Linked DNA regions of Anolis sagrei. The protein of the gene in region 4 binds, or shares a complex with, the protein of the main gene of each other region. Links are inferred from orthologs where the notes say so. Each region holds a gene or a part of one and is shown on either strand. Other genes may lie near its edges.

Region 1 (7,348 bases), on a different chromosome or scaffold from region 4:
TTATTATTATTATTATTATTATTAGATGATGATGATGATGATGATTATTATTATTATTGTATTTGTACTATATATATTCTTCTTATTATATTGCTATATTGTATTTTATGATTATTATATTATATATTATGATGATGTTTACATGTTCATAACAACACAGTACAACATGCACACTAAGTCCAAGTGTCTGGGCTTCGTCTCTGAATATCGGGCTCCTCCCAAGGGTCTGGGGTATTAGAGTATTATTTATTATTATAATAGTGTTATTATATTTATTGTAATTAGATATTATTATTTTATTTATTATATATTATTATTATTATATTTACATGTACATAACACAGCACACATGCACATTAGGGCCTATGATATTAGAGATATTATTACATAATAATCTAATAATTAGATAGGTCCAAGTGTCTGGGCTTCATCTCTGCATACCAGGCTCTTCCCAAGGGCTTAGGATAGTAGAGGTATTATTAGATTATTATTATTATTGACACAAAAGTACAGTATGTCACAGCAAACGAGGTCTATATGCTGGATTTCGTATCATTATTATTATAATATTTGTATTATATATTATTATATTTCTATAATAATATATTATTATTAATATAATAATAATAAGAGTCAGAAACGACTGAACGAATGAACAACAACATATTGCTATATTTTATTACATATAATTGTGATGTTTACATGTTCATAACAAGTTCATCTCTAAATACCAGGCTCTTCCCAAGGGTCTGGGGTATTAGAAGTATTATTTGATTATTATAATAGTTAGTGTTATTATATTTATTATAATTATATATTATTATTTTATTTATTATATATTATTATTAAATTTACATGTACATGCTCATTAGGTCCAAGTGTCTGGGGTTCCTCTCTAAATATCGGTCTCTTCCCAAGAGCCTGGGATATTAGATGTATTTTTGCAGATTGATGTTCTGTCCAAATTAAGGCTTTTTGAGGTTTCTTGGAATTATTATTATTATTATTATTATTATTATTGCTGCTGCTGCTGCTGCTGCCAAGCTTTGCTTAGTAGGGAGAGGGCAGGCTTTTGGGGCGTCTCGTCCCTCGCCTTGATGTAGGCCCACTTCCTCCTTTCTCCCCCCAGATCGCCGGCTACTTGTATGGGGTGAGCCCGCCAGACAACCCTCAGGTGAAGGAGATCCGCTGCATCGTGATGGTGCCGCAGTGGGGGACCCACCAGACGGTCCACTTGCCAGGGCAGCTGCCCCAACATGAGTACCTCAAGGTGGGGATCGTGGGCCAAAGCCGGGGGGGGGGGGGGGGTTCCTGCCATTCTAAAGGCTTGGCCGTCATCCCTCTTGACCTTGAACCTCTCTGTGCAGGAAATGGAGCCCCTGGGCTGGATCCACACTCAGCCCAACGAGTCCCCGCAGCTCTCCCCGCAGGACGTCACCACCCACGCCAAGGTCATGGCTGAGAACCCCTCCTGGGACGGGGAGAAGACCATCATCATCACCTGCAGGTCAGGGACACGTCCGGGGGGGGGGGGGTTAAATCTTTTATCTTCTATCTTTCCATCCATTCATCCATCCACATAATAAAAGTGAAAATCTGTCTGTTGTGTGTATGTGGCTGGTGTGCCCACTTACACAGACAAGCTCCTCCCTACAGCTCCAACTCCCACCAACCCTTTCCTATTCTTTTCTATGGCCACTGGTGGGAGTTGTAGTTCACCCTGCATCCAGAGAGCATAGTGAACCCCACCAATGGCGGATCTGGACCAAACTTGCCACACAGATCCAACACTTTCAAATCACCCAAGCCAGAAATTTCCATAACAGGAAAAATTATTTTAAAATATTAATTGACAACAACAGTTTTCTGTAATGTTTGTTATAAGTTGTTTACAACAAAGTAAAAAAAAAGTTGTAATTTTGCATTCGACAATTTAAACATTCTTGCCGCTAACATAGCTTGTTTATGTGTGTGTGTGTGTATATATGTGCGTGCTCAATGAGGACTACCACCTTGTTGCCAGGATTGGGGATGAGTTCCAACAGGATGTGTGGGGTGAAGGGCTTGCTGGCGGGTTTAAAATATTTTTAAAATATTAGTCAGCAACAATAGCAGTAGTTTTTAAATATTTTGTAATTTTTTATAAGTTGTTTACAACAAAGACTTTGTAATTTTGCATTCGACAATTTAAACATTCTTGCCGCTAACATCGTTGTGTGTGTGCATGTGTGTGTTTATATATGTATATATGCTGAATGAGGACTACCACCTTGTGCCAGGATTGGGGGTGAGTTCCAACAGGATATGTATGATGGAACTGGACAATGTTTTTTTTTAAATGAGGATTTATTGGCTTGTGTTTTATTACTGTTATGATTTTAACTGACCCCCTTGCCTCTTTGTTTCCCTTTTGCGCAGCTTCACGCCCGGCTCCTGCACCCTGACGGCCTACAAGCTGACGCCCAGCGGCTACGAATGGGGCCGGCAGAACACGGACAAGGGCAACAACCCCAAGGGCTACCTGCCCTCCCATTACGAGCGGGTCCAGATGCTGCTCTCGGACCGCTTCCTGGGCTTCTTCATGGTCCCGGCCCAGGGCTCCTGGAACTACAACTTCATGGGTGAGATTGAGAGAGAGAGAGACCCTTCCTTGGGACCCACAAGGAGCCTTTCTCCCTCTTGTCTTCTCACAACACCCTCTTGTTTGACCCCCTTTTTTCCCAGGCGTGCGCCACGACCCCAACATGAAGTACGAGCTGCAGTTGGCCAACCCCAAGGAGTTCTACCACGAGGTCCACCGCCCCTCGCACTTCCTCAACTTCGCCCTCCTCCAGGAAGGGGAGGTCTACTCCGCCGACCGCGAGGATCTCTACTCCTGAGGCTGACCCACAACAACAACAACAACAAGGAGCACCCCCTTTGTTTCTCCTTTCCTTCAAGAAGAGTTACTCCTCAGCATTTCACCCCCTTAGTTCCTCTTTCCACACAGTATGGCTGTGGAGGGATTGCGCGTTGTCATGTACAGTGTCTCTGCCCCTTTCCCAGTGTTGTCGAAATAAAGGTTTTGTACAAAGTTGGTGGCGTTGTACCCTCTCCTTCTTGTCCCTCCTGCTCATATTTTTATTTATTTCTCATATTTATTTGTCATATTTATTTATTTCTCATATTTATTTATTTATCAATTTTATTTCTCATATTTATTTTTCATTTTTATTTATATATATCATATTTGTCATACTGATTTATATTTTTTTATAATATATTTATTTATTATTTTTATTTATTTGCCATATTTATTTATTTACCATGTTTATTTAGTTATTTGTCATATTTATTTATCATATTTATTTATTGTATTTTTATTTATAATATATTTATCATTTTTATTTATTTATTTACCATAATTATCTATTTATTTACTTACCATATTTATTTAGTTATTTGCCATATTTATTTATTTATCATATTTATTGTATTTTTATTTATTTATAATTTATCATTTTTATTTATTTATCATATATATCTATTTCTCGTATTTTTATTTATAATATATTTATCATATTTATATTTATTTATTTATTATTTTTATTTATTTGCCATATTTATTTATCATATTTATTTATCTATATTTATTTATCAATTTTATTTATTGTATTTTTATTTATAATATATTTATCATTTTTATTTATTTATTTACCATAATTATTTATTTATATTTATTTACTTACCATATTTATTTAGTTATTTGCCATATTTATTTATTTATCATATTTATTGTATTATTTATTTATAATTTATCACTTTTATTTCTTTACCATATTTATATTTATTTATTTCCTGTATTTATTTTTATTTATTTATAATATCATATTTATATTTATCACTTTTATTTTTATTTATTTATTTATCTATTTATATTTATTTATTTATCAATTTTATTTATTGTATTTTTATTTGTTTATATTTATCTATTTTTATTTATTTATTTCTCGTTTTTATTTATTTTTATTTATTTATGTCATATATTTACCATATTTATTTATTTATCATATGTATTTCTCATTTTTATTTTTAATATATTTATCATTTTTATTTATTAACCATCTTTATTTACTTATATTTATTTATCTATTTATTTATATTTATTTCTCATTTTTATTTAGTTATTTATTTCTCATATTTCTCAGCTTAAAGGGCTGAGTGGGAAAAGGAAAGGGCCTGAGGCCAGGAATTCTGGGAGTTGTAGTCCAAAACACCAGGAAGTAGGCCCAGGCCTGTCTTAGTTGTCTTGGTTTGTTTTGCTCTGGGAGGGGGCGTGGCCTGCTTGAGCCCCGCCCCCTTAGTGTCCCGAGGCGCTCCGGCCAGTGTCCCGGATGGAGTCCCCTCGGCCGAGCGCGCCTCCGCCTTCCTCCCGGTCCGCGGACCCTGTCTACCGCCTGGCGGGCTCCTTGGGCTCAGAGCTGCAGCGCCTCTCCGCCCTGGTGGGCCCGGACGCCGTGGCCGGATTGGTCACCCAAGTGGTCCGCCTCCTCGAACTACTCGAGGCCTGGGCGCGGGAAAAGCCAGGCCTCAGGGCCGCCCTCGCGGAACAGGTGGGCTCTTCTGTCCCTCCCGGGGCCCCGTACCTCCTCGGCTTGTGATTGGCTGGGGACCCCTTTGGACTTTCCTGATTGGCTGGGGACCCCTGTCGGCAGGATAAAGGAATAGAACCCTTTATGTCCCCTCGCGCCCTCCGTATCTCCTTTCAGTTTCTATCCCGGACAACTTAGAAGCGGGACACTTTTCTCATTCGCTGGGGACCCCTGTCGGTACAATAAAGGAATGCAACACTTATGTCTCCTCGAGCCCTCCGTATCTCTTCAATTTCTCTCCCGGACGCTTTTTGATTGGTGGAGGATCTCTAGGTAGAAAAGGGACGCTTTTTGATTGGCTGGGGTCCGCTTTGATTAGAAAAGGGACGCTTTTTGATTGGTTGAGGATCTCTAGGTAGAAAAGGGATGCTTTTTGATTGGCGGAGGTCCTCTTTAATTAGAAAGCGGCGCTTTTTGATTGGCTGGAGATCTCTGGGTAGAAAAGGGACGCTTTTTGATTGGCTGGAGATCTCTAGGTAGAAAAGGGACGCTTTTTGATTGGCTGGAGATCTCTGGGTAGAAAAGGGATGCTTTTTGATTGGCTGGGGACCTGTTTGGGTAGAATAAAGCAACAGACCGCTTAGCAGGTGAGTTTAAATGTCCCCTGGGGCCCTCCGTATCTGTTTAGTTTCTTCTCCGGAGGTTTCTGATTGGCTGAGGTCCCCTTGGGGTCGAAGAGGGACGTTTCCCATTGGCTGAAGGGCGGGGGCTTTGTGGGGAGAGCCTTTTTTGTCCCCTGCGGCGCCCCGTCACCCGCCTTTCTCCCCTCAGCAGTGCCAGGCGGAGGAGGAGAAAGAGGAGGAGGAGGAGGGCCCTTGCCCGGAGGAGAACACGCAGCTCCAGGCCCAGCAGTGCCGGGACCGCCCCCCAGGCGGAGGTAAGCACCACAAGAAACCCTGGTTGGCCTGAGTGGGAGTCTCTTTGGCCTCCTAAACAAGGATCCCCCCCCCCCAGGCAGGAAGCAGCCAGGCTTTGAAGATGCAAGGCCACTCAGTGCTGATCAAGGTGGCCAATGACAACATTCACACTTGCCTCCAACAGGCAAGAGGTCTTTCTCCCATCTCCCAACAAAGGATTCCCCCTCAGGCAGGAAGCAGCCTGGCTTTGAAGATGCAAGGCTGCTTAATGCTAATCTGGAACCCCCTCCCCAAAGATCTTAGACAGGCCCCTACCCTGGCAGTCTTCAGAAAGAACTTGAAGACCTGGCTGTTCCGATGTGCCTTCCCAGAATAGGAAATCTCCAACACCAAGTCCCAGAAGCACTTTAGTAGAACTAAGATTGCTGCACACTGCACGTTGCACTTGCCCTATAATGCCTTACATACCTCCCGTCACATCAGCACTTTTAACCTTGTACCCATTACTCTGGCCCGGCCCAGTTTTATTGTGTCCTGTTGTATTGTTTATTGCTTGTTGTTTAATATTGCTTTAACTGTTTTTAATTTGCTTTAGGTTTGTATTGTTTATTTATTTACTTACTTACTTTATTTGTATACCGCTCTTCTCAGCCCTGAGGCAACTCAGAGCGGTTTACAATTATTTAGGTATACACAATACAAAATCATTAAGCATTTAAAAGCAATAGCATCACAAGTCATTAAACATCAATATCAATACATCACTACATCAATATAACAAATCTATCAGGTCTCATCAATGAAATCAGAATCCAAACTATGTTTGTTATGTTGTGTTTTGAGGCCTTGAGTGGCAGGCTCAAACCCAGAACCTCAATCCATGGGTGATACCCGACGAGAGACTCCCCCCTGGGCACACAGAAGACTGGGCAACTTGGAAAGCACTGAACAGACTTTGCTCTGGCACCACGAGATGCAGAGCCAACCTCAAGACATGGGGCCACAAAGTGGAATCCTCGACATGCGAGTGCGGAGAGGAGCAAACCACTGACCACCTGCTGCAATGCACCCTGAGCCCTGCCACATGATGCACCAGGGAGGACCTTCTTGCGGAAACACCAGAAGCAACACCAGAAGCCTTTTCTGTGGTGGCCCCCTGGCTGTGGAACGCCCTTCCTATGGAAGTAAGATCAGCCCCCTCGCTGATGGTGTTTCGAAGAAGACTAAAAACTTGGATGTTTGAACGGGCATTCGGTTAAACAGTGCAATCAATGTGAATGACTACAGGAACTGGAAAATCGGACGACGAATTGGATCATGATTTTAGTTATGAGTTGTATTGGGTTAACTATTGTTGTGCTAATATTGTGTATTATGCTTTTGTTGATCTTAAATTGTATATTGTGGTTGATTTTATTCTTGTTGTAAACCGCGTTGAGTCGCCGGCCAGGCTGAGAAACTGCGGTATACAAGTAAAGTAATAAATAAATAAATAAGCACTCCAAGGGGCCAGAGACTGGTCAAAGGACATCTAATCCACTACCAAGTTTGCAAAAATTGTGCTTTTTTAATCTGTGTGTTTGTTTTGTTCTATTAGAAATGTAATGGAATGTTCTGGTTGCGGATGACACGATAAATAAATCCTTGGTGTTATGGGGTGACTGACCTCTTCTCTCTCTCTCTTTTTCTCCTTCCTCTGCCCATGTGCAGAGAGCGCCCTGCGGAAGGAGCGGGAGGTGATGCTGCGGCTGAAGGAGGTGGTGGACCGCCAGCGGGACGAGATCCGGGCCCAGGCCCACGAGATCCACTGCAAAGCCAGGGACACTGAGGCGGTAAGGAGAAACAACATTATTATTATTA
Region 2 (7,412 bases), on a different chromosome or scaffold from region 4:
CGACTGGAGTGGTCCTCATCATGGACTCGAGAGGGGCCAGGTTATTGTCATGCAATCAGTCTTTGTTTAAAACCTTAAGTCAATAGGAATTTTCCTTGCGAAATGGACTACCCAAGGCTGATGTCATGCTGGAGGTCATGAAAAGGTGGCTTCCCATATTTCATATACAGGCACATACACAGGGGTCAGGGGAGATACATAAGGAATATTAACGCTTAAGGGAATTTCATATACACCGATCCCACCCACCAGAGTCCAGATTAATAAGTTCATTAGCACAAAACCATGCCATCCCTCAATCATGAAAAAGGAGCTCATAGGGCTTGGGGAAAAGTTCCATAAAGTTTTCAAAAGATCTTTAAAGTTTGGGAAAGTTGTTCAAAGTTGTAGAAATCCAGAAAAGGCAAGTGGGAAAAGGTGTCCCAGTGTCCACAGAGTCCTTATGGCCATCCATCAACGCTGAAGATCGAGATCCATGGCGAGAACTACAGATCCCTCCACACCAAGGACCAAGGCGGTCCGCCGACATCTTAGGGATCCCATGGGTTGACCACGACAGTTTCCCAGGAGCAGCAGGCTCCTTGGACATCCACAAAATGGTGGCAGGGAGGCAACATCTTTGGAAAAACAGCTGGACTCCAGGTTGGGGTTTCAGAGGCAAAAAAGGTTATTCCTGGGGCGGAAAGGGCAGTGGAGCGAAACCGAGATAGCCATTAGACTTAGAATTCTCCCAGGAGAAGATTGGCACAATTTCCGGAGTGATCCATTGACTCGTGGATACGGGCACCCGAGGGGTTTCCGTATCCGTGGTTTAAGGGAATGCAGTTTAGGCCTCCCCGGGATGCGAAAATCGCATCCCAGGAGGGCCGACCGCCATCTGCAGCCTGGGAGAAGAAAGGTCTATCAAGAGAAAAGTGTGAGGTAGTAAAGGGACACAAAGTAACACTATGAAGAGGAGATAAGTTACAATTAACTAATACTTTTTATTGGGGGATTAGTTACAATGTTAGGAAGGTGAAAAGGCAAAGAAATAAAGAGGCTCCTGAGTTGCAGCTGCTGCTGTGGCCACGTCCATGCGGTTGGCCCAAGCGGGGCAATGGAGAACTGGGGAACTCCCTGCTGCAGGTCAGATCAGCTTGAAGGCAGGGAGTTCCGTGTTCAGCCTCACTAAGAGGAGGAAAGGGTTGGTTGACTTCCCATCTTCTGCTTTGTGGGATCTATTTTCTACTCTTCTGTCGTCTTTTGTGTTTCATCCCATTCTTCTTCGTAAGCTAAGAGATATTTACCCTTCTCCTAATAAGATTATATTAATATTTCCATTTTATCTTGTTCCATAAACTTAATAAATTCCAATCTGTTGTTAAATATCTAAGTTGTTGTGTTAGGCTACCCATACTTCTGACTTCCAGCATCTTTATTAACCATTCTTTTAGATTCGGGGTTTCTTTCCCCCTCCAATATCGGGTGTGCACTATTCTAGCCGCGGTTATGATGTAATTAAATTTTATTTATTTATTTTTATTTATTTGTCGTGTCAGGACAACCAGTCAAATTATATCACATTTCTAACAGAACAAAGCAAACAAACAGACAAAATACAAAATTTGTGAGTTTGGTAGTTGATTAGATGTACTTTGACCAGTATCTGGCCACTTGGAGTGCTTCTGGTGTTACCGCAAGAACACCATTGTGCATGTGGCAGGGCTCAGGTTGCATTGCAGCAGGTGGTCAGTGGTTTGCTCTTCTCCACACTCACATGTCATGGATTCAACTTTGTGGCCCATTTCTTGATGTTGGCTCTGCATCTCGTGGTGCCAGAGTGCAGTCTGTTCAGCGCCTTTCAAGTCGCCCAGTCTTCTGTGTGCCCAGGGGGGAGTCTCTCATTTGGTATCAGCCATTGGTTGAGGTTCTGGGTTTGAGCCTGCCACTTTTGGACTCTCGCTTGCTGGGGTGTTCCAGCGAGTGTCTCTGTAGATCTAAGAAAACTATGTCTTGATTTAAGTCGTTGACGTGCTGGCTGATACCCAAACAAGGGATGAGCTGGAGATGTCTCAGCCTTGGTCCTTTCACTATTGGCTGCCACTTCCCGGTGGATGTCAGGTGGTGCAATACCAGCTAAGCAGTGTAATTTCTCCAGCGGTGTGGGGCGCAGACACCCTGTTGACGTGCTGGCTGATACCCATGTAATTAAATATTATATCCTTATTTCTATCTAAATTAAAGTCTATAATTCCCTATAGGAAATACTCTGGTTTTAACTGAAAATGTATTGTAATCGAAATTACAATGGAACAATGGCTTCAAACTACAAGAGAGGAGATTCCATCTGAACATGAGGAAGAACTTCCTGACTGTGAGAGCCGTTCAGCAGTGGAACTCTCTGCCCCGGAGTGTGGTGGAGGCTCCTTCTTTGGAAGCTTTTAAACAGAGGCTGGATGGCCATCTGTCAGGGGTGCTTTGAATGCAATATTCCTGCTTCTTGGCAGAATGGAGTTGGACTGGATGGCCCATGAGGTCTCTTCCAACTCTTTGATTCTATGATTCTATACACAATAGTAGGGCAACTTTGATCCTCTTATCATAGCTGCCACTTTTGGACTCTCGCTTGCTGAGGTGTTCCAGCGAGTGTCTCTGTAGATCTTAGAAAACTGTTTCTAGATTTAAGTCGTTGACGTGCTGGCTGATACCCATGTAATTAAATATTATATCCTTATTTCTATCTAAATTAAAGTCTATAATTCCCTATAGGAAATACTCTGGTTTTAACAGAACATGTATTGTAATTGTAATTTTATTATTATTATTATATATTATTCAATAGAAATAAAATATGTTTTAATATAAAGGTAATTGAGTCATACGTGTGATCAAGATATAAAGAAGGCGATTAAACTAAAATGGAATAGCTTTAGAATAACTTGACTGTCATGCTGTTTAATATCTACATGAAGCCGCTGGGTGAGATCATCCGGAGTTTCGGGGTGCGGTGTCATTTGTACGCAGATGATGTCCAACTCTGTCACTCCTTTCCACCTGTCACTAAGGAGGCTGTCGAGGTCCTGAACCGGTGCTTGGCCGCTGTGACGGTCTGGATGAGGGCGAACAAATTGAAATTGAATCCAGGCAAGACAGAGGTACTCCTGGTCAGTCGTAAGGCCGAACAGGGCATAGGGTTACAGCCTGTGTTGGATGGGGCCGCACTCCCCCTGAAGACGCAGGTTCGCAGCTTGGGAGTGATCCTGGACTCATCCGCTGAGCCTGGAAACCCAGGTCTTGGTGGTGGTCAGGGGAGCTTTTGCACAATTAAAACTTGTGCGCCAGCTGCGCCCATACCTTGGGAAGTCTGACTTGGCCACGGTGGTCCACGCTTTGGTTACATCCCGTTTAGACTACTGCAACGCTCTCTACGTGGGGTTACCTCTGAAGACTGCTTGGAAGCCTCAACTAGTCCAACGCTCGGCAGCCATGATTTTAACAGGAGCGGAGAGCAGGGAGCATACAACCCCCCTGTTGTGCCAACTCCACTGGCTACCGGACTGAATTCAAAGTGCTGGCGTTGGCCTTTAAAGCCCTAAACAGTTCCGGCCCAAGCTACCTATCTGACCGCATCTCTGCCTATGAACCCACCAGGACTTTGAGATCTTCCGGGGAGGCCCTGCTCTCGATCCCGCCTGCTTCTCAAGCTCGGCTGGCGGGGACGAGAGATAGGGCCTTCTCGGTGGTGGCTCCTTGGCTGTGGAACGCCCTTCCTACGGACATTAGACTAGCACCATCTCTAATGGTATTCCGCAAAAAAGTGAAGACCTGGCTGTTTGAGCAGGCGTTCGAATAATTAGTGCAATGATTGGTTAATGAACACTGGAATGGAACAATGGATGACGAATCTGGAACATGTTTTTGATGAATGGGTATTGTAGTAACTGTTTATTAATTGTGTTAGGTTGTTAACTGTTTCTATACTGCAGCACTGAATTTTTGCTGTTCGTATTTGTTGTGAACCGCTGTGAGTCGCCTTCGGGCTGAGAACAGCGGTATATAAGTAAGGTAAATAAATACAGGGTTAGTCAAAATGAATAGGCCAATTCGGGTACAATTAATTTTCTTATTGTCCTATTCATTTTGACTAACCCTGTACATAAATAAAGGAGGGAGGAGAGCGCCTTCATGTGCGCATGCGTGGAGCGCCTAGAGTCAGAGTTGAAGTTCCGACCTAAAGCATGTGGGCGTGTGATTGAAAAAAAAGACGGAACTTTCGTTTGCGCATGCGTTGCGATTGAGAATCCCGGTTGGTAGTGGCGCATGCGCGTTTGGGAGGGATAGGGACGTTCTGTGGGAGGGAGGGAGGGAGGGAGGAGCGCGCCTTCGCGTGCGCATGCGTGGAGCGCGCGCAGTCAGAGTTCCGGAGTTGGCCGGCAGGGCGGGGCGCATGCGCACTGAGGGGGATGTAGTTGTGGAGAAGGAGGCGGTGGCTCCTGAGGGCGCTTTGGGCCTCCTCCGCCTGGGATGGAAGCCGGGTGAGAAGGAGGAGGGGGATTATTATCTGTTTATATGAATATTATAGATTTATATTGTGAATTATCGAGGAGGGGGCAACTTAGGGAACTCAGGAATTACTATTATAGTGTTTGTGTATATATATGTGTGTGTGTGTGTGTGTATATATGTGTGTGTGTGTTTATATTCTGAGGGAAGAATTATTATTATTACATTTATTATATTTATATTCTAAGGGAATGAGATCAAAGAAGTAGCAACTTAAGGGACTGAGGAATTATTATATATATATATATATTATAGAATATATATTGATATTATATATTATTTTCTGTAGGAATGGAATTGAGGAGGCAGTAACTTAGGGGACTGGGAAATTATTACAATATTAGGTTCTTGTAGGTTTTTTCGGGCTATATGGCCATGTTCTAGAGGCATTCTCTCCTGACATTTCGCCTGCATCTATGGCAAGCATCCTCAGAGGTAGTGAGGTCTGTTGGAATTAGGACAATGGGTTTATATATCTGTGGAATGACTGGGGTGGGGCAAAGAGCTCTTCTCTGCTGAAGCTAGGTGTGAATGTTTCAGCTGACCACCTTCATTAGCATTTGAAGGCCTGGCTGAGCCTGGGAAAATGTTCTGTTGAGAGGTGTTAAGATGTGCCTGGTTGTATCCAGGCCAATGGAGACTCCACCTCAGACATCAGAAGAGCTGCAAGACCAAGAACAAGCCACAAGAGTCAAGACGAAGATCCACCCAGAGGAAAAGGGTTCCTGCCATACATCAAGGGAACCACTGACCGCATAGGGAAGCTGATGAGGAAACACAACATACAGACTATCTACAGACCCATCAAGAAAATCCAACCAATGCTCCGTTCAGCAAAGGACAAGAGGGATCCTCTCACCTCTGCAGGAGTCTACCGTGTACCATGCAGCTGTGGACAAGTCTACATAGGGACCACCAAATGCAGCATTGCCCAAACACAAATCAAGGAACATGAAAGGCACTGCAGACTACTTCAACCAGAGAAGTCAGCCAGAGCAGAGCACCTGATGAACCAACCTGGACACAGCATATTATTTGAGAACATGCTGGACCACTCCAACAACCACCATGTCGGACTACACAGAGAAGCCATTGAAATCCACAAGCATGTGGACAATTTCAACAGAAAGGAAGAAACCATGAAAATGAACAAAATCTGGCTACCAGTATTAAAAAACTCTATAATTACAACAGCAAAACAGCAGAGAGGAAATAACTAGGCACATCTTAACACCTCTCAACAAAAGATTTTCCAAGGCTCAGCCAGGCCTTCAAATGCTAATCAAGGTGGTCAGTTGAAACATTCACACCTAGCTCCAGCAGACAAGAGTCCTTTGTCTCACCCTGGTCATTCCACAGATATATAAACCCTTTTTCCTAGTTCCAACAGACTTCACTACCTCTGAGGATGCTTGCCATAGATGCAGGCGAAACGTCAGGAGACAATGCCTCTAGAACATGGCCATATAGCCCGAAAAAACCTACAAGAACCTAGTGATTCCAGCCATGAAAGTCTTCGACAATACATATTACAATATTATTATTATTATTATATATTATATGTTTATATTACAGTATGTGATGGAGGAAGGGGTAACACGGAACTGAGGAATTATTGTTACTATACTGTATTATATTTATATTAATATTATATTTATAAATATATTTATATATTTATTTATATTTATACTATATTATATTTATATATATTTGAGTCGCCGTATGGCTGAGAAACGCGAGCTATAAATATCATAAACTAGCTTTCCCTTGCCACACGTTGCTGTGGCCCAGTCTGTTGATCTGGAAAATAAAGTAATGAGAAAGTGCTGGTTTCTAATATATGTAATGTCTTGATGCTTGTGGGTAAACAGTATTTCTACCTATCTACCTACCTATCTATCTATCTATATCGATGGCTGGATGGCTCTTTGTCAGGAGGGCTTTGATTAGATTTTCTTGCCCTGGTTAAGGGAGTTGGACTGGATGGCCATAAGTATTTTCTGTTGGTCATGGGGGTTCTGTGTGGGAAATTTGCCCCAATTCTGTTGTTTGTGGGGTTCGGAATGCTCTTTGATTGTAGGTGAACTATAAATCCGAGTAACTACAACTCCCTAATGTCAAGGTCTATTTCCCCCAAACTCAATCTGTGTTCTTATTTGGGCATATTCATGCCAAGTTTGGTCCAGATCCATCCTTGTTTTGAGTCCACAGTGCTCTCTGGATGTAGGTGAACTACAATTCCCTAACTCAAGGTCAATGCCCACCAACCCCTTCTAGTGTTTTCTGTTGGTCATGGGAGTCCTGTGTATCACCTTTGGTTCAATTCCATCATTGGTGGAGTTCAGAATGCTCTTTGATTGTAGGTGAACTCTAAATCCCAACATCTACAACTCCAAATGACAAAATCAATTTGTTTTGAGTGAAGGAGCTGGTAAACTGGCTGGGATTTCTGGGAGTTGTAGGCCAAAAACATCTGGGGACCCCAGGTTGAGAACCACTGCTCTAGAACATGGCCATATAGCCTAAAAAAATCCATAACAACCCAGCCAGTAGGCTGTTTAGAATTATGGTAGTTGAAGTCCAAAACATCCGAATGGCCCAAGTTTGCCCATGCCGGGTTTAGATGGTTCAGAGCAAACGGTCAGTCCCAAAAGATGTGCAAGTTAGTGACCAAAATGTGGCAGCTGAGCTCTTAATGAGAAAGAATTATAGGACAGCAGGAACATTTATTTATTTATTTATTTATTTACTTTACTTGTATACCGCTCTTCTCAGCCATCAGGCGACTCAGAGCGGTTAACAACCAGAATCAGCAACACAGTACAAAATCATTAGTCAATTAACATCAAAAACATCAATGCTACAATACA
Region 3 (7,566 bases), on a different chromosome or scaffold from region 4:
AGGACAGAAGGGCATTAGTCCTGTACTGCTGATCTTTCCCGGCATCTGTTTCCTAGCAGAACACACATTGCCTCTTAGCAATTTCAAAAGGAGGTTTTTTTAATTTAAAAAAAATGCTTCCTTAAAAATAGAAACAAAATTCAATTGCAATATTCCTCAGGACTTTTACTGGCACTCCATGGTTAAATCATGAAGATTTTTCCTCTAATGAGTGCTTTGCCAGCTGTTGCAGGGAAGAATAATGAGTGCTGCCATAGTGGTGAACCCTTTCCCTCATGTTATTGTTGTCCACATAAAATTTGCTGGACATATAGAGTCAATTCTATGGTATTCACAAGCCAGGAAGTCAGTGAAATATGGAAACACATCCAAGGTTGTGGGACATCTAACACTTATTGATCACAGTGTCATTACACTGAAAATGTAATATTTGGCCTATTTCTGAGTATATTAGATCTACTGATTCCAAAAATGTCACCTTTCTTACTTCCTTTCTTATGTTTTCTACTGACATGCATAGAGGATTGTTGAAAACAGCACCGCTGTACAAAACAAATGTCAGCAATAGCGTGAACCCTTAAATAAAGCTGCATGTGTGGAATATTGTTGTATTTTCTGTGTTTTACGGACTGTATAGGCACATCTTGAAACAATTCATATGGCCATTCAGATTTTATTGGACTGTAACTTCCATAGTCCTTAACTTTTGGCTATGTCAAGGTTGATGGAAGTCCCCTTTCCCTCGTCTAAATTGTATTAATGTGAAATATATGTATCTTCTCCCTGAGTCAAAGCAAGATAAACTATTTAGAAGGTATAATACAACATAGCACTTGATGGATTTGATCCACCAATATCTCATATTTATCTAAAGTTGTAAAACATGCATTGCCATCTATTCTTCTCCTAATTTATTTTAGAAAGCTTCTTCCTTGTAATTCACTCCTTTATTGAGGCAACCGATCCATTCTAAGCCTAATGATGTATAACATCTAGACATCCATGTTTGTAATAACTATGAAAATAATTCCCCATATAATCGAAACAATTCTAAAACTGATAAAAATCACTCCGTGTTCTCTATTTGGGCAATTAAGGGCTGTACAAATATGCAGTTTTTTTCCTGTTCTGCTAACTGGCTGGAAAAACTTCCAAACTTCCCAGACTTTTTTTCCCCAGTCTTGTAAGATTACATTGGGATCAGGTCCCAATACTGCTTAACTCAATGCTTGGGCTGTTTGCATTTAATGCACTGGGGGTGTCTTGCTATTTTTCCAAGATTTCAGAAACATATTCGAATCTAGGTGGTTTCAAACTAGTTATAACTGAAAGTCAATAGTAGTAACATATCAATGTTTCAGAAAAAGTAAGATGGTGCAGAGTCTGGAAAACTAGTAATAAAGTACAGACAGTCCCCAAGTTTATTACTAGTTCTCCAGAGACACTCCAAGTGGCCAGCTTCTGGTCAAAGGAAATCAAGTATAATGGCAAGTTTGTGTTCTTTAAAATACATTATAACTGTACCCTCAATTCGCTTCTGACATGATAATTAAAAAATAGTCCCTGAAGTACAAACATCTGAGTTACAAATGACTCATAGTTAAGAACAGGACTGAGACAACAGGAAGAGAGAGAAATCTCCCCCTAGGAAGGGAAATCTACTCCTGAAATAGTTATCACGAGGAAAAGGTGCCTCCACTGAGGCTTTCTCAGCAATCCTAGTTTCCACAACAAGCCACATTTTACAAAATCCAGTTATCACAGGGACAGAAATCGAGGTGAAATATTCAGAATAGGGACACAAACAGCAAATGATGCACCATATGGGTGTTAACTCTTACCTGTGCAATCCAAAGATAACTATATCTATATATCTATATCTGGCTGGAGCAACACTTTAAAAATGTACCTGTTCTGACTTACATACAAATTCAACTTAAGAACAACCTACAGAGCCTATCTTGTTTGTAACTTAGGGACTGCCTGTACTCTTAATAGTCCGTTCCAATTGAATAGGCCAGTATATTCAACATTTTTTCAGCCTCAAAATAGTTTTCAGTAGCAGCTTGACAATTTTAGGATTGTAGTTCTAAAAAGCAGTTCAACAAACATTCACTTGAATCTAGAAATGCATCGCGGTCATCAAATTAATCCTTGCATATAAAGTATCCAGAACCCTGGTCTGTTGCACAGACATTATAGTTTTTCAGAAAAAACAAACAGTGGGTGTTTAAACACTTTTTTTTTGTATTGTCGAAGGCTTTCATGGCTGGAATCACTAGGTTCTTGTGGGTTTTTTTGGGCTATAGAGCCATGTTCTAGAGGCTCTATAGCCCGAAAAAACCCAAGCATGTGGACAATTTCAACAGAAAGGAAGAGACCATGAAAATGAACAAAATCTGGCTACCGGTATTAAAAAACTCTAAAATTACAACAGCAAAACTACAGAGAGGAAACAACCAGGCACAGATTAACACCTCCCAGCAAGAGATTTTCCCAGGCTCAGGCAGGCCTTCTAATGCTAATGAAGGTGATCAGCTGAAACATTCACACCTAACTGCAGCAGGGAAGGGCTCCTTGCCCCACCCCGGCCATTCCACAGATATATAGACCCATTGTCCTAATTCCAACGGACCTCACTGCCTCTGAGGATGCTTGCCATAGATGCAGGCGAAACGTCAGGAGAAATGCCTCTAGAACATGGCTCTATAGCCCGAAAAAACCCACAAGAACCTACATTTTTTTTAAAATAAAAAAATCAGTACTGGAGGAATGTACACATTTATTTTTTTAAAAAGACACCCGCACAAACCTCTGTCCAAACCTACATAAGAGAAATCTTGACAAAACCTCAAACTATTCTTGGAACCTAATCCAATACATTGTCCATAAGATTTTTTCCCCCCATGTCAGGAGTGACCAGTGGGAATCTTCCCGTCAACAAGGCGCAGAATCATAGCTATAAAGATGGGAAATAAGTTACATCCTTGTTTGATACCTGATCCCCCTTTAAATGGGTCACTTAGGGAGCCATTGCTGTCCAATTGCTCGCAGGATATTCACATTTTTATCAGGGCATCCAGTTTTTGGAAGATGGTCCAAAGAGCACTGTGATTCATTGTACTGAAGGCCTTTGCAAGGTCAATGAATGCCATGTACAGAGGTTGTTTTTGTTCCCAAAAATTTTCTAGAAATTGTTGCACAGTGAAAATTATATTCAGAGAGGATGTCTTTTGAAATAGGTATAATGTGAGCCCTTGGTATCTGCAGGAGTTTGGTTCCAAGACCTCACGTACTGTGCCCTGTAGATATTAAAATACATGGATTTGTATAAATCAAAATGGTGAAATCAAAGTTTGCCTTTTGGATTACATATATATGTATGTATTTAACCCATGCATTCAGAATCCGCGGATACAGAGCGCTAACTCTACACAATGCAGATCTGAGAAGGCAGATAGCAATCTGGAATATACTTTACGTCTGCATAAAACAGTAAATATGGCAATTCTTTTGTGGTGCTAGAGGAGGGAAATAAGACACAATCAATTTTCTAATAAAGTTACCCAACAGGTTCAAGAGTAGAGTAGAATATGCCGTAATTTGGCTGGTATAAAATAATAATTTCTTTCTATGCATTGTTTTCAGATTGCAATCCAATGACCACTTTCTTGAAAAGGAGATTTCTTAAAATCAGTGGGATTTAACTTCTGGACCAGAGCCCCCGATGGTGCAATGGGTTAAACCCTTGTGCTGGCAGGACTGAAGACCTACAGGTCATAGGTTAGAATCCGGGGAGAGCACGGATGAGCTCCCTCTGTCAGGTCCAACTCCCTATGCGGGGATATGAGAGAAGCCTCCCATAAGGATGGTAAAACATCAAAAGCATCTGGGCGTCCCCTGGGCAATGTCCTTGCAGATGGCCAATTCTCTCGCACCAGAAGCGACTTGCAGTTTCTCAAGTTGCTCCTGAGACCAAAAAAAAAGCATTGAATGCCCTTGTAGCTTCAAAGCCTGGCTGATTGCTGCCTGGGGAGATCCTTTGTTAGAAGGTGTTAGCTGGCCCTCATTGTTTCTTGTCTGGGATTCCTCTTTTTTGTGTGTTTTTTTTTTAGTATTGCTCTTTATTTATTGTCCTGTTTTAGAAGTTTTCTTTGAAAATAGATTTTGTTCATTTTCATAGTTTCTTCCTTTCTATTAAAATTGTCCACAGGCCTGTGGATATCAATTCCTACCGGCTGTTAGGAATTGTGGGAGTTGAAGTCCAAAACACCTGGAGGGCCGAAGTTTGCTCATGCCTGCTGTAGCAGGTGAAGGAACAAAAAGGGCAGCCGGGAGCGCACAGGCCAGGAGTGCGCATGCTCACATTCCACAATGTGTTTTTTCCCTCCCCGTCGTGACCCCTCCCACTCCTCCTCCTCCTCCCCCTCCTCTACCACCCCTCCCCCCCACCGCCGCGCGCGAGGCCCCTTCCTCTTTCCGCAGTATTATGAGCTCAGCGCGCGGCATGGCGTGCCCTATGACGTAACCCGCCGGGCTCCTCCAATCAGAGCACGAGGAGGGGGGGGGGAGAGAGAGGCAGTTGGTGCCTTCTGCTGGGGAAGCGCGCGGAGACAAGAGAGTCAGGGAAAAGACCCGGATGTGCCCCCTTGCTGTTGTTGCGTGAAGGAGCGGGTCGTGGCCGGCGCCTGAGGCCGCCCCGCCAGGCCGCAAGATGGAGGAGGCGGGGTTTGGGGCCGTGGCGCCGCCGGTAGTCGTGGCGCCGGCGCCGCCGTCTCCTCCTTCGTTGCCGGGCGCGGCGGCGGCGTGAGGCGTGAGGCGGAGGCGAGGGCCGCAGGCAGGGAGGCCTCTCGGAGAGGGAGGTGGGGCCTCGGCGGGGCCATGCTGTCGGTGTATGGGATCCTGTTCTCGGCCCTGCTGGGCTCCATCCTCACGCTCCTGGCCCAGGTGCTGCTCTTCTACCGGAGGCCCCCGGAAGCCCCCGAGGGCTCTATCTCGAGGCCGGGCCCCAGCGCCTTCTCGCCCCGCGTGGTGCCGGACACCAGCCTCAGGGAGTACCTAGCCGGCTTCATCAGCTTCTCCGCGGAGCCCAAGCCGGCCTCGCAACAGCCCTCGCTCCAGGAGTCGCTCTCCTCGGTGGAGTGCACCGAGGAGACCCTCTACTGGCTCAATACCATCAACCTCTTCCTCTTCAGGGAGCTCAAGGACACGTCCCTGCTCCGACACTGGGTCACCAGGAAGATCAAGGTGGAGTTCGAGGAGCTGCTCCAGACCAAGGTGACGGGCAAAGTCCTGGAGGGGCTGAGCCTGCGCGACGTCTCCTTAGGCAACGTGGTGCCCCTCCTCAAGAACATCAAGATCCTCCGGCCAGTGACCTGCAGCGAGGACGGCTGCCCCGAGGAGCTGGACTTCGAGCTGGACCTCGAGTACCAGGGGGGCTTCCACCTGGCCATCGACGCCGACCTGGTCTTCGGCAAGTCGGCCTACCTCTTCGCCAAGATCTCCAGGGTGGTGGGTCGCCTGAGGCTGGTCTTCACCCGCTTGCCCTTCACGCACTGGTCCTTCTGTTTCGTGGACGAACCGGTGATCGACCTGGAGGTCAAGTCGCAATTTGAAGGGAGGCCCTTGCCACAACTCACTTCCATCATAGTCAGTCAGTTCAAGAAAGTGATTAAGCGCAAGCATACTTTACCTCACTATAAAATCAGGTAAGATCTCGAGAGAGAGGATATTTATTTATTTATTTTTATTTACTTCCTTTCTACCCCACCTTTCTCGACCTGGGAAGGGACTCAAGGTGGCTTACAAATCCGGCAAAAATTCAATGCCACACAGGTAAACAACAACAACAACAACAATAATAATAATAATAATAAACTTTATGTATACTCTGCTACCATCTCCCCAAAGGACTCAGTGCAGCTTACATGAGGCTAAGCCCACAATACATCAATAAACAAAAGCAATAACAACAATCAATACAATACAATTAATATAAAAATCACATAAACACAAAATAAACAATCAACAGTGACACACGAGCATTTAAAAACCAATGGCCGGGCCAAATGTAATAGATTAAAATTTAAATTAAACACATCTCATAAAAATATAAACAATCTAAGCATATAAGCAATTAAAACACAGAACAATCTACATTTGGTGGGCGAGGAAGCAGAAGGAAAGCAAGGAAGTATGGGGGGGGGGGGTTCAGAGGTGCACAGACCACATTTTCTGAAGTTGTCAGTGATTGTGGCTTGCATCCACATTCACAAAACTATGACTCTACAGCAGTGGTTCCCAAACTTTTTTTGACCAGGGACTACCCTGACCAGGGACCACTCCCCATACCAAAAGGGTTATGAATCAGTTTTTGGTCAACTTCAGAAAATTGCATTGGATAGACCACATCAGCTCTAGTTGCTAATACAGAACATATGCCGTCCAGTAGTCGCCATCTTCTCGCCCACAGAAAGCCATATTTAATAAGCCTCAGTATTATAAGAAGGTTTTGCAAGACCAGTCACTCTCATTGCAATGGTGTAGTGATGGTGAGGCCGCAGTCCAAATTTTATTTATTGCAGGCCATTGATGGTCCACAGACCACAGGTTGGGAACCACTATAATACAATGTATTTTAGAAGCCAGCCATCTAGTATGAGGAGGAAGTATTCGGGGGTGTTTCAAAAGTGCATAGACCACATTTTCTGAAGGTAATAATAATAATAAACCTTTATTTATACCTCGCTACCATCTCCTGAAGGACTCAGTGTGGCTCAGTGAGCATGGCTTGTATCCACATTCACAAAACTATACAGCATATCTTAGTAGTCAGCCATCTGGTTACATCACTGAGAAAGTATGAGGGGGTGTTTCAAAGATGCACAGACCACACTTTCTGAAGGTGTCTGTGGGCGTGGCTTGCATACACATTCATGAAGCTATAATTCTATGACGTATTTTAGTAGCCAGCCATCTAGTTGCATCACTGAGCCATACACCTCATATTAGACCAGGGATGAAAACTATGTGGCACTATCCAACACAGCCAACAGTAAAGAATGCTGGGATTGGGAGTCCCAACAGTGTTTGGGAACTCCATGATTGCCATGTCTGGACTGGCTGAGTATTCCTTATCTGAAATTCTTGAGCCCAGAAGTGTTTTGAATTTTAAATTATTTTGGATTTTTGTTTATATGTACAGGTCTAAACACAAAATTCATTTATATTTTGTATACACATAGCCTGATGGTAGTTTTATTAACTTTTTAATACATTATTTTTGGCTTGAAATAAAGTTTTAGAACATTGAACCATCAGAAAACAAAGTTGTCCCAATATCAGCCACTCATGTGGATAGTATAGGATTTTGTAATTTAGGATGATGAGGGGTTCTAAAATTGTACTAGACGTTTGAAGAGAGTTCCAACTAGTAGGTCACTGCTTATCTTGCAGCATCTGATTTCTCGATCTCTTTTGCTAAACATAGGCCAAACATGTATCTTGTTTATCAGGAAGGCAAATTTCAGTACATTGTTAAAAATGAAATTTGAGATTTTATTCTAA
Region 4 (7,119 bases):
ACTGCAAAAGAAATCCTGGTGAAAACAAGGGGTTTATTTTACAGAGCATTCACTAGGTACAGTATTAGGCTCCGCACTGCTTAAGGGGGTTTATGGTCTACTAAATGAATTGAGGCTGAAATCAACACTGCATGTATCTGACCAAGTCAGTTCTAATTCCTGAAAGCATATGCTATAATAAATTTATTAATTGTATAGGTGTCATGGGGATCTCTCTTGGTTTTGCTGCAAGCAAGTACTAGTGCCCCTTGGAAACTTGTGACAGTGAGGATTCAGTAAAGTTCCCTGCAGGATCCATGGGAAAATCAATCAGCCTATCCATGATCTTACCTGGCTTATGATCTACTTATCATAATTACAGTGATAAAGAGAAGATTGGGGGGAATGGGACAACAAAGGGGGAATCTAGCAGCACCTTTTAAGACTGACTGGTTTATATTTTTCATGACATTTTATGAATATTAATCCATTTGTTCAGCTGCTATGACATAAGAGGCAGTTTGATACTTGAACTTCAATGGCTCAATGCTAGGGAATAATGGCAATTGTAGTTTTAGCCTTCCCTGTCACCAAATCCTAGGATTCCATAGCATTGGCCATGGCAGTAAATGTGTAGCCAATCTGCATTAATTTCACAGTGCAGATGCATCCCTAGTAATCTTAAAGCCTCAGGTTGTTAAGCATATTTACAGATCTGTGGGAGTGAGAGATAATGTAATAGATTTCTACTTTCCTGGTCAAACAGTATATGTGGAATACCCTTTCTTTGAAATGCTTGGGACTAGAAGCATTTTGGTTTTTGAATTATTTACTCAGATTTTGAATATAATATGCACAATGAGGTATCTTGAAGATAAGACCCAATTCTAAACAAATTCATTTACCTTTATATATAAATAGCCTGAAAATAATTGTATAGTCTTTCTTAAAATTTTGTGTATGAAACAAAGTTTGTATGCACTGAACCATCACAAAGCATAAGTGTTACTATCTCAACCATGATTTTGGAGGTTTCTGGAATTCTGGCTAAAGGATGCTCAGCCTGTATAGGATTTTCAAGGAGCAATTCTTGAAGAAAGAAATCACAACGGGTGACTGGTGAGAGCAATTGAATGTCATTCACAATCTGCAATCTATTAGCAGAGGTAGGAATAAAGAAAATAGTTTTATAACACAATACATGAATCCCCACAACTGGAAATATAACAAAGGAAATCTCCCAATTTCACAGATCAATGTTGTAAAGACCCAAAAGACCCAAATTTCCCCATGCAGTCTTTTGAAGATTTAGGACAGAGGGCCAGGATTTGCATCTTTCTGAAGGACGCAGATGTGGACAGATATTATTATTTACAAAAGGCTCATGTGTATATGTATGTGTGTTGTGTGTGTGTGCACGCGTGTGTGTGTGTGTGTGTGTGTGTGTGTGTGTGTGTGTGTGTATATATATATATATATATATATATATATAATTTGGACTGATGAAAGGTAGGCTGCTAGGGATGGTGTGACTGGGATTTTGGGTCAATGTGGAATGTTAATGTTTTAGAATATTTTACATATTTTTATTGGACCTATGTTTTATTAGTGTAATCATGTTTTATTTAAATATTTGTATTATTATTATTAGTAGTAATTCAATTATCTTTTTAGTTATAAGTTTATTGATGTTATTTGTATTAGGTTAATCTGTGTGTATTTGCTTTCCTATGGCATTGAATGTTTGCCTTTTTGTATGTAAACCGCCCTGAGTCCCCTTGGGGAGAGAGAGCAGTTTATAATTATAATTATAATTATTAATAGTTTGATGGCACAAAGAATTCAATTATTTCAATGTTGTTAATGGCACACAGTGGTTTTTTTTAAAGTACATTGATATTTTAATGTGTTTACATTGTTTGGTGCCTTTGGTAGTAATATTGAGAGAAAGACAAGACAAAAATAAAGTACAAAGTATAATGTATTAAACTGTTTGATATTTATACTGGTGGGTTTAGCGGCCATTAGTTGTTTTAACTATGCTTAACGATATTTATTGTTTTCTTTTTTATTTACAGGCTTTTGTTTGATATTATGTATATTTTTTGTGTTGTGAGCTGTCCCAACTTTCTTTGGGGAGAGGGGGTGGGAATACAAATAAAGTTTATTATTATAAACTATGTATGTATGTGTGTGTATAATAAATAACAAATAAAACTACTAGCCTGAACTGGGCTGCTAGATCCCTTCTTACAATGCCATAGGGTGCATCTACACTGTAGAGCTGTAGCTCTCCATCTTTGGAACTCACTACCAGGTGAGATTAGGCAAGCCCCCACTTTAGCAGCCTTCAAGAAAAACCTGAATTCGTGGCTCTTTTGATGTGCCTTTGGAGAGTGACCATTTATCCCATTTCTGTTTGCTTCATCTATAGTGTTGTCTCTATGACGCACTCCCCCCCCCCCCCCCGTCCTAAACTGAAAACTACCCTACTGTTTATCCTTTTTGGGCTCCCCTCAATTACATATTTTCTATTCCTATCCTATCCAGGGTTTTATCATTCTACCTCATCCATTTGGCCTGCCCATTCTTTTCGATTTTATATTATGTTAGTTTGCTTTATTTTATTTTGCTACTGTATGTATTTTATTCTGATGTATATTTTTGTTGTCTGCATTCTGTATTTTATTGAGCTGTATTGTATCTTTGGGCTTGGCCTCATGTTAGCCGCCCAAGTCCCCTTTGGGGAGATGGTGGCGGGGCATAAATAAAGCTTATTGTTATTATAGAGCAGCCATGGGCAAACTTAGCCCCTCCAGGTGTTTTGGATTCCAACTCCCACAATTCCTAACAGACTCGGGCCTTTTCCTTTTCCTTCTCAGCCGCTTAAGCAGTTGAAGCAATTCAAGAGAGATATTGACAAGCTGGAATGTGTCTAGAGGAGGGCGACTAAAATGATCAAGGGTCTGGAGAACAAGCCCTATGAGGAGTGGCTTAAGGAGCTGGGCATGTTTAGCCTGAAGAAGAGAAGGCTGAGAGGAGACATGATAGCCATGTATAAATATGTGAGAGGAAGCCACAGGGAGGAGAAAGAAAGCTTGTTTTCTACTTCCCTGGAGACTAGGACATGAAACAATGGCTTCAAACTACAAGAAAGGAGATTCCATCTGAACATGAGGAAGAACTTCCTGACTGTGAGAGCCTTTCAGCAGTGGAACTCTCTGCCTCAAAGTGTGGTGGAGGCTCCTTCTTTGGAAGCTTTTAAGCAGGGGCTGGATGGCCATCTGTCAGGGATGATTTGAATGCAATATTCCTGCTTCTTGGCAGGGGGTTGGACTGGATGGCCCATGAGGTCTCTTCCAACTCTTTGATTCTATGATTCTATGAAAAAGGAAGGGACCCGAGGCTGTTAGAAATCGTGGGAGTTGGAGTCCAAAATACCTGGTGGGCTCAAGTTTGCCCATGCCTGCAGTAGAGTTAGTATATTCAGTTCTTGTGGGTTTTTTCCGGGCTATATGGCCATGTTCTACAGGCATTTCTCCTGACGTTTCGCCTGCATCTATGGCACGCATCCTCAGAGGTGAGGTCTGCTGGAACTGGGAAAAAGGGGGTTTATATATCTGTGGGATGACCAGGGTGAGACAAAGGGCACCTAGCCCAACTCAGAGGAGGATGCGTGCCATAGATGCAGGCGAAACGTCAGGAGAAATGCCTCTAGAACATGGCCATATAGCCCGAAAAAACCCACAAGAACTGAGTGATTCCGGCCATGAAAGCCTTCGACAATACAGAGTTAGTACAGTTTGATGCCACTGTGACCGCCCTGGCTTAGTGCTGTGGAATCATGAGAGTTGTAGTTTTACACCGTCTTTAGTCTTCTTGGCCTCGCCAAACTCCCACTCCCAGGATTCCCCCGCATGGAGTCCTGGCAGCTCAAGCCATTCCTGAGGATGGACTAAGAGAGCGGCTTCTTTTGTCTTCACTGACAGAGGAGTCACGTGAGCGAGGCGGCACCATAGACAGAAGCGGGGGCAGAGCGGCCACCCTCTTGCGACAGAGGAACCCAAAGCCTTCCCGGCGTGGCCCCGCCCACTAGGCGCGTCGGCACGCCGGGCGGGTCTCGTGACCGGAAGAGGGCGAGCGAGAGACGGAAGTGAAAACGGGGAGGGTGTTTGGCCCCATTAAAGCGGACCTGAGCGGCGCAGGGAGGAGGAGGTTGTCACCGCTGCTGCTGCTGCTGTTGTTGAGTTACCACAGAAGTCGCCACCGAGGAGGAAGAGGAGGAGGATTCCGGGCCCCCTGAGACGGTGAGGGAAGGGCGGCGGAGGGAGGGAGCGAACGAGGGAGGGAGGCCTGGCGGGTGGGGCTAAGCGAGGCTTGGCGTCCCGGTGGGCCCGGCCTTGGGTGTGCGGCCCAGGCAGCGCCAGCGGGGCTTGTTTGGGAGACAGCAGGAGGAGGAGGAGGAGGGCGCGGCTCCCTCGGCGCTTCAGGCCGCCCTTCTGCCTCGGCTGCCAAGGAGGGAGGAGAGAGCGGCCCCGGGCCCCGCCCTGGCTCTCTCTCCGAGGCAGGAGTCGCTCTGGAAGTTCCTTGCCTCCTCACGGCAGCTCCGGAGGGAAAACGAAAGGGAGGCGGCCTTCCCGGAAGGGATTTTGGTGTGAGGAGCGAGCTTCTTCCTCTTTCTCCCCCGACACAAAGAGATGTGGGGTGGAGCCCCGTGCTCGTCCTGATACCTTTGAAGTCCACACAGCCATATCACCTAGAATATCAAGACGGATAAGCCACAATATGTGCTTTGGACCGGGTTATCTGAGTCCACACTGCCATATAATCCAGTTCAATGTGGATTTTATACAGCTGTGTAGAAGCGGCCTGAGTGTGACTTAGACCTTGGCCCTCCGAAACCGAAAGGCGAGAAAGCCCGGCCCGAGTAGGTTCCCTTCCCCCTTCTGGTCCCCTCCCGCCAGCCCTTCCCTGCAGGCAAAACAATAACGCTTCCTGTCGCTCCCGGTTGAAGAGTTCAAAGGTAAGGTAACACGCCTTTGTTTCTCATGCCCCATCTCTAGTAATCACTTAAATCCATTTCCAACCGGTGTTGAAGAAAGTGGTTTCGCTGTGCAGACGATTACAGAGGAAATCCAGGAGCCACTTCGAGGCCTGGATGGTGATTACACAGATCACTCAGCGTTAAGAGGTTTCTTTCGCACGCTTTTGTGGGGCTTTGTTGTTTGCTCTCCGCAGTTTGAAGCTAGTTTCCAACTTCATTAAATAGTCAAGAGTAGAAGGGGCCTTAGTCGTCTGCCTTGTTCATGCCAAAGTGCTTGACCTTGGTGTCATATTACTTCGGGAAGTTTGAAATTGAAACCATCTCCTGAGGATTACTTTCTTGTCCGCTCCCTGTGTAAATAATCACCTGAGGTAAATGTACTCTTTCCTGAATGGTATTTTTTTTGGTCGCTCGGTCTTATAAGCAAGCTTGTCCCATTGTATAGTAGGAAGACTTATGTGTAAGCCTACATTGATTATCAATATACATAAAAATGTAATGTTAGTTTGTGGGATTTACATAACTCAAAAACCACTGGACGAATGTACACCAAATTTGGACACAATACACGTATTAGTCCAATGAGTGACCATCACTCATAAAAATGTTGAAAAACACAGAAGAGACTTAAAAAGCACCCACCCACCCCCAATTACAATGCATGCACAAAACCACACATATACACAAATGCATACATATACACACAAAAAGCACTTATACACAGACTGGGCCACAGCAACACGTGGCAGGGGATGGCTAGTGATTCATATAAATGGTTAGGTAGTATGTTTGTGGACAATTCTGGAATGCCTCTGGTACGCACAAGGACAGCTAAGGGTAATAATATATTGCTAGAATCTACTCAGAATGCACAAATGGTAAACCATTGGGTCCTTCAACTTGATGCTATCTTACTGGTTAAACATGAGATCATTGATTAAATTAGGAAAAGCAAACAAAGCTTGATCTCTTCCAAGTATGTAACTTGTAAGTGTGCTGCCTTTCTGAGTATTCACTAGTATTGGTCAAGACTGCAAAAGAGTCCAAGAGTACTCCAAGTCTTGACTCATCAATGTCCTTGGACAGAACAGGATTTATCTTGGTAATAGTGTGTGCACGCATGTGCAACTGAGTAGGAGAAAGTTCTTATCAGACTAGCATTTTCTGTACCTTTTTGTAAAGATTTAAATATTTAAGCATGGCAAATGAATCCTGGAAGCATGCTGAATTCTAAGAATTTAGTGGAAATTACTGAAACTAAAATGAGTTGCCCTTCCAACTGATTTTGTAACAAATGACTGTCAAATGCCAGATAATAAAATGTAAGCCAGGTTTAAATTTGGCTTGCTTAAATTCACTTCAGTAGTCCAAGTATTCTTGTGTATGTGTTATATTTTAAATATTACATGTGTAATTTCACTGATCTTTGTAAACTTCACAGATTTTCAGAGTGTGCTTTTAATTTCGTTGCTCCGCTGCTGAGGAGTAAAACTTGATTAATGGTAGGAGGAGTTTAGATACTTTCCCTGTTCTTAGCCATGCCCTCTTAGTTGGGAAGAACAAGCATACTGTCTTCCCTTGTGATTGAAGCAGCTGATAAAGCACATGATTTAGTTCATGGATGGCTAACTACAGTTTGTCTAGGTAAAGAGATCACCAAAATGCCAACAAGTAGTTTTGAATAAAGCCAGCAATGCAGCCTGTCACTTTTACTTCAGAAATCATGGCAAATAGCATGTGGGAGCTCTATAGCAATCTAATTCCCTATTTATAACATTTCCACCCAAGGGTCTTAAACACAAACAAGAAAGGTCTCTAATATATATGTTGTTGAAAGCTTTCATGGCTGAAATCACTGGGTTGTTGTGAGTTTTTCAGGCTGTATGGTTCTAATTTGTGTTTGAATATATCGTCTCTAATACGTGTCTCTAATATATGTTTGATGGTACTCTACTTGCCCTTGAAATTCTAAGCATCAGAACAAAGAAGTCATTTAAATAGCGTATGCATTTTATATTGAGATCTAGTTTTATAACTTGATAGTTCTTGAAACAAGATGGAGCATAATCTAGAGAAATCATGAAGTACATCTGGAA

The links.
Region 1: the proteins of RAB7A (region 4) and RILP are in contact, whole or in part, in a crystal structure (PDB 1YHN), measured with the Homo sapiens proteins. The link is inferred for Anolis sagrei from reciprocal best matches to the Homo sapiens genes RAB7A and RILP. Residues at the interface, in NP_004628.4 of Homo sapiens: Ser3, Lys6, Leu8, Ile41, Gly42, Ala43, Asp44, Phe45, Leu46, Thr47, Thr58, Trp62, Ser72, Leu73, Val75, Leu182, Tyr183, Asn184, Glu185; in NP_113618.2 of Homo sapiens: Phe248, Glu249, Leu252, Gln253, Arg255, Asn256, Lys259, Ala260, Phe263, Leu264, Glu267, Glu268, Tyr271, Arg274, Glu275.
Region 2: the proteins of RAB7A (region 4) and RUBCN are in contact, whole or in part, in a crystal structure (PDB 6WCW), measured with the Homo sapiens proteins. The link is inferred for Anolis sagrei from reciprocal best matches to the Homo sapiens genes RAB7A and RUBCN. Residues at the interface, in NP_004628.4 of Homo sapiens: Ile41, Gly42, Ala43, Asp44, Trp62, Gln71, Ser72, Leu73, Gly74, Val75, Ala76, Phe77, Arg79, Ser101, Asp104, Glu105, Ile108, Gln109, Ser111; in NP_055502.1 of Homo sapiens: His818, Asn821, Met822, Lys824, Thr825, Arg827, Leu883, Gln885, Ala886, Lys887, Gly888, Phe889, Ile890, Glu892, Gln895, Glu897, Ile900, Pro903, Cys915, Lys916, Arg931, Arg934, Arg938.
Region 3: the proteins of RAB7A (region 4) and PDZD8 are in contact, whole or in part, in a crystal structure (PDB 7F6J), measured with the Homo sapiens proteins. The link is inferred for Anolis sagrei from reciprocal best matches to the Homo sapiens genes RAB7A and PDZD8. Residues at the interface, in NP_004628.4 of Homo sapiens: Lys10, Leu14, Asp16, Ser17, Lys38, Ile41, Gly42, Ala43, Asp44, Phe45, Gln60, Trp62, Gly66, Glu68, Arg69, Phe70, Gln71, Ser72, Leu73, Gly74, Val75, Ala76, Phe77, Tyr78, Arg79, Thr98, Ser101, Trp102, Glu105, Phe106; in NP_776152.1 of Homo sapiens: Ile999, Lys1000, Leu1001, Val1002, Arg1003, Lys1004, Glu1005, Gly1007, Leu1008, Asp1009, Asp1010, Phe1013, Ile1014, Lys1017, Gln1044, Leu1051, Asn1054, Asn1055, Val1058, Leu1077, Leu1084, Gln1085, Thr1088, Ile1092.

The regions. Positions count from the first base shown.
Region 1 is NC_090031.1:35,512,633-35,519,980, forward strand, and holds the start of RILP (rab-interacting lysosomal protein), read left to right. Parts: upstream 1-4,334; 5' UTR 4,335-4,373; coding exon 4,374-4,592; intron 4,593-5,402; coding exon 5,403-5,508; intron 5,509-7,198; coding exon 7,199-7,320; intron 7,321-7,348. Other genes in the region: PRPF8 (pre-mRNA-processing-splicing factor 8), read left to right, coding at 1,130-1,270, 1,368-1,507, 2,419-2,621, 2,725-2,879. UniProt on the Homo sapiens protein: Rab effector playing a role in late endocytic transport to degradative compartments. Involved in the regulation of lysosomal morphology and distribution.
Region 2 is NC_090023.1:267,843,630-267,851,041, forward strand, and holds the start of RUBCN (run domain Beclin-1-interacting and cysteine-rich domain-containing protein), read left to right. Parts: upstream 1-4,410; 5' UTR 4,411-4,503; coding exon 4,504-4,514; intron 4,515-7,412.
Region 3 is NC_090023.1:204,010,310-204,017,875, forward strand, and holds the start of PDZD8 (PDZ domain-containing protein 8), read left to right. Parts: upstream 1-4,544; 5' UTR 4,545-4,881; coding exon 4,882-5,708; intron 5,709-7,566. UniProt on the Homo sapiens protein: Molecular tethering protein that connects endoplasmic reticulum and mitochondria membranes. PDZD8-dependent endoplasmic reticulum-mitochondria membrane tethering is essential for endoplasmic reticulum-mitochondria Ca(2+) transfer.
Region 4 is NC_090022.1:56,363,433-56,370,551, forward strand, and holds the start of RAB7A (ras-related protein Rab-7a), read left to right. Parts: upstream 1-4,098; 5' UTR 4,099-4,286; intron 4,287-7,119.